2 linked regions of the Bombyx mori genome follow. The protein of the gene in region 1 purifies or fractionates together with the protein of each later gene. This does not show direct contact. Links are inferred from orthologs where the notes say so. Each region holds a gene or a part of one and is shown on either strand. Other genes may lie near its edges. The genes, in order: transient receptor potential protein and PLCb4.

Region 1 (3,836 bases):
TTTACAACAACTAGATATTACGTCTTGCAACGACCAAACAACGTGTTGGATGTAAAAATGATCTTGAGAAAACTTTAACTTGTTAAGACAGGATTCTTTGTCTTCAAAATTAACATAATACAAATCTGTATCGTAGTAATATATCGAAGGAGCGAAATAAAATATAAAATTAGTTCAGATTTGTTTGAGTATTCTCACTGACAGACCGACGCGTCGACGCCGGGTGGATTAAACGAAATCAATCGTAAACAGACCATTAATTCGAATGTTTGTTTATGAAGATTTAAATTGATCCAGAAGAGAGATCGAACTATTAAAAAATCTCAATAAACAAACACGTCGCTCCGCCGATTTTAGGTCATCGAAAGGAATCTACGAACGATTTTATGCGTTCCCGATTTTTATATGACTTTATAAAATTGATTTATTTGTGGACTATCATTTTTAAGGTTCATTTTTGTCTACTATAATTAATTTTAATTATAGTAGACAAAAATATAATTATAATATAATTAATTTATTAATTTCTATATTAACTGCGATCCTTAAAACTTTTAACGACTGAATAATAATTATAAGATTCTCTATTTTATTTTTATTTTTATAAAAGAGTATTGAATATAGAATTCGACACGTCTTCCTATATAAGTTACCATATACATTTTCAATCCCCAATTCTCTATTTTAGTATATTGATCGAGACAATTATTTATTTATTTAAGGATTACCAACAGGGTTTATAGTAAGACATAAAATAACATTGACATGTATAGAGCAATTGATAGCTGCAACTCTAATTAGAAATAATCACAGCATGCATTACATTAATATATCAACAGAGATTTAACAATACTAATAATAATAAAATAAAATAAAAGAAAGACAACAAGGACAGTAATACCCGAGTACTCAGACCAAGGCCAAGGCTGAGGTTCAACAACAAATTTTATAATTTTGTTCCTGAATATTGGAAGGGAATTATCTATGATGTCACGTCATATCTTAATTTGGATGGCGGCATAGGCTTTGGCACACACGCACAAAGCGGTGCCTCACTTCGTCCTCCTCTTCGAGTGAATATCCGACCATTATCTGAGCGTTAGTCTTTTTAATACGCTTTTATTAGCTTCATACGTATGTTACGTATGTAAAGGAATCTTTGATCATGATTATGACCCTCTTCAAAACGTCGGATTAACTCGAAATTTGGCACACTTATTAAGAATCGATGACAATTCAATATTTTAAGCAGTTTGATCCGTTATCCTTACTAGGATAATCAGGATTAGTGATTTTTTGTGTTTTGTCTACTGACTAGTGTCTGCGTCAAGACCAAGAAGGGAAACTACCAGGCACGCCGATCACCTATTTCTCGGATAAGTTACCGACTGATGATTCAGATGAAATTTTTGAAAAATTTTAAAAAAGATATTAAAATTCAACTAAACAATGGAAAACGAATAATAGCTAAAAAACACTTTTTTATAATAAAATCATTTTTTCTTACACTATTTTTAATTCAAATTTATTTATATTTTAAATACGCTTACTGCTAATTTGCTTTTCATTAATTAACCTAATGTAGGTGTCTGGTTGTCAGGTGACAGTCTAATTAGGCGGGCCATGCCCTCGTCTATCTATAATGGGAATCAAATGAATAAATATCACTGATTGATGCTTGTAATTATTATTGCTATGATCCATTGATGCTGTATATGCTCATAATCCAATTGTGATTAAATTTGGTGTACTAGTCGACTACTAATTGACTACAGTTGATGAATATTTTTTGACTATTGATTAAAAATTCAGACCATGATGTAAATTTTTACTTTATGTCCAAATTGCAACGGGCTAGGTTCGTACTTGTTGTTTCTTGTCAAGAGCAAGTTAAAGCGCTCAAGTATCTGCGTAATGAAAATCAGGTGTAGATTTCAATGGTAATACAAAGACAAAATTATACATACTTTTAATTTGTAAAGTAATACCGGGACATCTGGTAAAATCAAGTCGTCGTGGCCTAAAGGATAAGAATCCCGCAGACGAGTACCAATTTTTCTAATGAAATACGTACCCAACAAATGTTCACGATTGACTTTCACGGTGAAGGAATAACATCGTGTAATAAAAACCAAACCCGCAAAATTATAATTTGCGTAATCACTGGTGGTAGGACCTCTTGGGAGTCCGCACGGGTAGGTATCACCGCCCTGCCTATTTCTGCCGTGAAGCAGTAATGCGTTTCGGTTCGAAGGGTGGGGTAGCCGTTGTAACTATACTGAGACCTCAGAACTTATATCTCAAGGTGGGTGGCGCATTTACGTTGTAGATGTCTATGGGCTCTAGTAACCACTTAACACCAGGTGGGCTGTGAGCTCGTCCATCCATCGAAGCAATAAAAAAAAAACGAGATACAAGGTACCCTCTTTTCAACACAAAAATAATAACGAGCAAAAGTTAAAGTATCCTCTTTGTTATTGGCTTGTAGCTTATAACTTTAAATAAGTACATTTTGATATCGTTTTAATATCTGGTGATATATCATTTATTTGATATTTTCCACTTAAATTTGTTTAAAAGTATCAAGGACACCAAAAAAATTTAATGCAGAAATTTTCGTTATCAAAAAATTTACTTTACACAAATCACCATTCGTTATGTTTTAGTTTTAATTGATTTACCATTTTTTGCTTGTATTTGATAGCCAATTTGAGACGTCCAAGTGTTTGCCTTTCCCCGGGCTCCCAGCAGTCCAAATCCCATGGGTTGTAGTTGAGCATTATCTCTAACTCCTTTGAGGTTCTGGTGTGATCTAATAGTGAGGTGGCGAATTCTTGGCATTGTTGACGTAAAGCCTGAATTAAAATCAAAATATGATACACAAATATTGTGAACGTAAACCCAAAAGCAAGTAAAGAAACAAATGAATTGTTCCAAAAAATCTCATTGCATTATATCTCGTAGAACTTTAAAATAATAATAATAGAATTAAACAATCAGTAAAATAAATTTCAAACAGTGCAGTGAGGATATATTACCGTTATCTTGTAAAGCTGAGACTTAGAACTGATGTCCTAAGGTGGGTGGCGGCATTTGGTTTTGTTGATGTCTCTGGTCTTCAGTAACCACTTAGCATTGGGTGAACCGTAAGCTCGTCCACCCACCTAAGCAAAATCGCGAAGCGGGAAACTCACAAAGAACCTATCATAGGCTTACCTTATATTCAACTCTAAACTCAGTTTCCATTCGACTCAGACGTCCCAACTCCCAAGACAGCTGGAAAGCCGTCAGCAGTGGGTCAGCTGACGATAACGCTATGAGTGAAGGCGAAGAAAGCGCGCGATATGCGTTAATCCGAGCCTGAGAATGCCGCAGAGAATCCTCTTGTGAGGACTTCACACATTCGTCGCAACCGCATCTGATTGAATAGTTTTTAAAAGCTTTAATTAGAAAATCCAGATCACAAATATCCTTGGTTTGTTCAATGAAGTACCGATTGCGTTGAAACAGCAGCTGCATTAATATATTAAGTTTTTTTATTGTAGGTGCTGAAGGGTAGAGGTCCTCATGTTTCCCCGGCGTAAACTGGTTATCAGAGCCTATAGAAATTACAATGTGATGGTAAATATTTTTCGAATACAAAACCGGACGGTGATGGTTCAAGCTTTTCATAGTTCACGGGAGCTCACAAACAGTCTTATTAAATTAGGGACTTACTTATTACCACCCATCACTCTAGAGCAAAGTTAATTTCTATTACCAAGAATCTATTAATTCGTAATGCTTTTGAACAAATCATTTTTACCACGTGCAATCTTTTGGAATTTGTACTCCCC
Region 2 (3,836 bases), on another chromosome or scaffold:
TTTTATACACTAGTTACAAGAGTACCACTGCCGTATCCAAAACTAGCTATCTGGGTAACGTTAATGGAAAATTCTTTTATTAAGCTAAGCAGAAACATTTTTTTCTTTTCAATAGGTCTACATTTGAGATGAATTCTCAGGCAGCTCGCGACTCTCTTGACCTCGAAGCTCTGAATCAATCGTCCAGCATCACCTTACTGGTGTCCATCTATAAGAATTTTAATGCTAATACCTCAAAAACCCCTAAAAAAATCTGTTAAAATTTTCGAAAACTGTTCCAATACCCATTGTGAAGGCGGAGCGGTTTACCAATGCGTTACCTTATCCCACTACTGATAGAGCGGTACTATCAAGTGTTAATAAAGCTACCGAATAACTTGCAATCATTCTCATTGATTCTCTCTTCAAAAATATCTTCTTCTTCTACATATATAAAAATGAATTGCTGTTCGTTGTCTCGCTAAAACTGGAGAACGGCTCGACCGATTTGGCTAATTTTGGTCTTGAATTATATGTTGAAGTCCAGAGAAGGTTTAAAAGGTAAAGATAAATATGGAAATGCTCGAAATTAAATAAAAACAACAATTTTGTTTTTCCTTTGATGTGTCCCGATCGGACGGATTCCTTTTGTTTGTTTTAAGTTTATTTTATACAAAAGTTTAGGTCTTTTATTTATCGATTGAGGCACTACGAAGTCTGCCGGGTCAGCTAGTCTTCTTATATAACACAGAACACAAGAAATTCAACTAACGAAACAAACTTAACGAATGTAATTTCCTATATAATATATAGGACCACTTTAACCCTGACTTTCTTCCAGCTGGATGCGCCTCTGTTTCCTGACCGACCCTCGGGGCAAAGTTCCCGTCAAGGTGGTGGCCAGGACATTTGCTTCTGGTAAAACTGAGAAGCTGGTCTACCAGTGCCTGTCCGAACTGGGTCTGCCGTCAGGGAAGAATGACGTCATGGAAAAAGAAGCCTTCACGTTTGACAAGTTTTACGCTCTGTATCATAAGATTTGCCCGAGAAACGATATTGAAGAGTTGTTTCGTTCTATGTAAGTATTATTTTAGATTTATTTATTTATTTAGTCTATTTACAAATTAACAGCATAAACCAAAACATTTGTAAGGTATTAACGTACTAATATAACGGCCGTCTGGTGTAGTGGTAAGTGACATGGTCACTACACAAGGGAAGATATTTGTATGATAAATATAAACGTCTTTTCCAGGGTTATGGATGTATATTAAATATATTTATGTGTATAATAAAAATCTTACATTTATTTTCCGTTATCTGGTACCTGTAACACAAGTTCTTTACGATCTTATCACGGGACCAGTTAATGTGGCGTGATTGTTAGTAAATATTTATTTATTTATTAATAATTAGCTTAAGTAACTTCTAACAACAACAATAAATCGCTGCAAACCATCATGGAATATATCCATTTCCGGAGCATAGGCTAGCAAGCCATTGAGTAGCGAGACAGTACAATGCGTCGGAGAGTTAGCGGTGTGCTGCGTACGCGCGTGCGTGGTACTAAAAAGCTCCCGCTGGCGACGCACCCCTCCACAATGTAGCATGGTAGTTGTAACTAGCAATGGAACTCATGATTATGTCTTTCCATATGAGTCGACAAGTATCAAAGCCGGCAATGTGACTTTTGGACAATTACTGGTAAATCAGAAAAACGAATTATTGACTTTGTATTCCATTGGCAGTCACAAAACTCTTCTGAACGACATCTTAGATAAATAACAGGTTAAGTATTAACCTTTATTTAATGCAGGTTTTGAACCGTATTCTTTGAAGGAGACAATTATATTCAAATCAATCTGTATTGACATATCAATAACATTTTTTTGTCCAAATGCACAGATTGCCACCTTTGATAATAGACGACTCATATATTGTATCAAGTAACCAGGTTTACGTGTGGCAACTATACCGGCGTTTGGTAGCAGTCTAATCACAATATCTATTACATTATATTAATACTGAGAAATAAATAATACATTATTAAGTAAAATTGTAATACTAATAAGATGGGACCACCAACCCGATTAATTTTTAGGATTGAGAGCTAAACTATATCAGGACTATATCTCAAAGACCCTTTATTATTTCTTAGCCGATTGAACGAGCTCATAAGTGATTACCGGAGCCCATAGGCATTAACAACGTGCATGTCGCCGCTCAATTCTATAGTATAACGGCTGCCCCACCCTTGAAATTGGAACATATTACGATAGAAATAAGCAGGCTTCTTTTATAGAACGTAGCTATTTGTAAGCAGCTTTGACAGTGATTTCAAAAACGCATTACTTACCACATTATATTACAAAAGCGTATTACTGTTTTGCGGCAGGAAAAAGTAAGATGGTGGTTCTTTTTTTTTTTTTATTGCTTAGATGGGTGGACGAGCTCACAGCCCACCTGGTAGTGAGTGATTACTGGTGCCCATAGACATCTACAACGTAAATGCGCCACCCACCTTGACATATAAGTTCTAAGGTCTCAGTATAGTTACCCGCCCGCCCGCTCGGTTCCTACCCGTGCGGGCACTTAAGACGCCCTACCACCATCAAATACGCAAATTATAATTTCTGTCCATTTGAATCTTACTATATAGTGTTATTCCTTCATTGGAGTTGTTCGTGAAGATAAGCTAAGTACGTATTTAATTAGAAATTTTTTTATTTGCCTGCGGGATTCGAACACCGGCTTAGTCGCACCGCTTGATACTAATTTACTGATGGTAGGACTTCTTGTCAGTCCGCACGGGTAGGTACCACAACCCTGCCTATTTCTGCCGTGAAGCAGTAATGCGCTTCGGTTTGAAGGGTGGGGCAGCCGTTGTAACTATACTTCAGACCTTAGAACTTATATCTCAAGGTGGCTGGCGCATTTACGTCGTAGATGTCTATGGGCTCCAGTAACCAGGTGGGCTGTGAGCTCGTCCACCCATCTAAGCAATAAATAAAAAAATGCACCGGGCGTCTTATCCTTTAGGCCACGACGATGTCAAATACAGCCGCTTTGATCACGCAGTAAAGTGGGTTCCAATGAACTGGTATAGCTTTAACTGCAATTAATAATTCAAGGCACCTCGAGATAGTTTTCTTTTTCGTCTTCATTGAGCACCAGATGAGTCGCCGAGATAAATGCGAAACTATTTACCTAAAGTAAAGTGTGCGCCTGTACAACAAAATCCCACAAGATGTTCAGAACCTACATATACATAGGCTTAAGAAAACTATTAAAGAACATCTGTGCAATAAAGCTTACTATAAAGTCAATGATTATCTAGAAGATTGCACAAAGTGGGAATGAGTTGCTCGCTCCGGGCAGTTCAATATTGTAATAATTGTTATGTTATTATACTCATGTAAAAATGTATATTTAAAAAATAATCTAATATTAAAAAAATAATCTAATATTAAAAAAAAAAATACATGCCCGCTGAGTTTCTTGCCAATTCTTCTCAGGACGGAGGCTAATTCTTGTGAATTGGCGGTAGTTCTTTTGACGTTCAACAAGTATGTACTTTCATTTATGTTGAATAAAACTTTTTTGATTTGATTTGATTTGAAAGATGAAAGTAATCTTGTTTTTACTTTCAGAACTCAAGGCAAATCCGATCGCATCAATTTGGACCAGTTCGTGAACTTCCTGAATGAGAAGCAACGTGATCCTCGACTCAACGAGATCCTGTACCCGCTGTACGATGAGAAGAGAGCAGCTGAGATCATCACGACTTATGAACAGAATGAGGAAGCCAAAAATGCCAGTAAGTTATTGTTTAAGTTCGCAGGCCCTACCCTTACCGT

The links.
Region 2: the proteins of transient receptor potential protein (region 1) and PLCb4 purify together in Drosophila melanogaster (affinity purification with western blotting; 3 studies listed by BioGRID). This does not show direct contact. The link is inferred for Bombyx mori from reciprocal best matches to the Drosophila melanogaster genes trp and norpA.

What each region holds. Positions count from the first base shown.
Region 1 is NC_085120.1:6,368,112-6,371,947, reverse strand, and holds part of transient receptor potential protein, read right to left. Parts: intron 3,419-3,836; coding exon 3,217-3,418; intron 2,856-3,216; coding exon 2,682-2,855; intron 1-2,681. UniProt on the Drosophila melanogaster protein: A light-sensitive calcium channel that is required for inositide-mediated Ca(2+) entry in the retina during phospholipase C (PLC)-mediated phototransduction.
Region 2 is NC_085124.1:1,852,403-1,856,238, forward strand, and holds part of PLCb4 (1-phosphatidylinositol-4,5-bisphosphate phosphodiesterase beta-4), read left to right. Parts: intron 1-820; coding exon 821-1,057; intron 1,058-3,629; coding exon 3,630-3,796; intron 3,797-3,836. UniProt on the Drosophila melanogaster protein: The production of the second messenger molecules diacylglycerol (DAG) and inositol 1,4,5-trisphosphate (IP3) is mediated by activated phosphatidylinositol-specific phospholipase C enzymes. Essential component of the phototransduction pathway.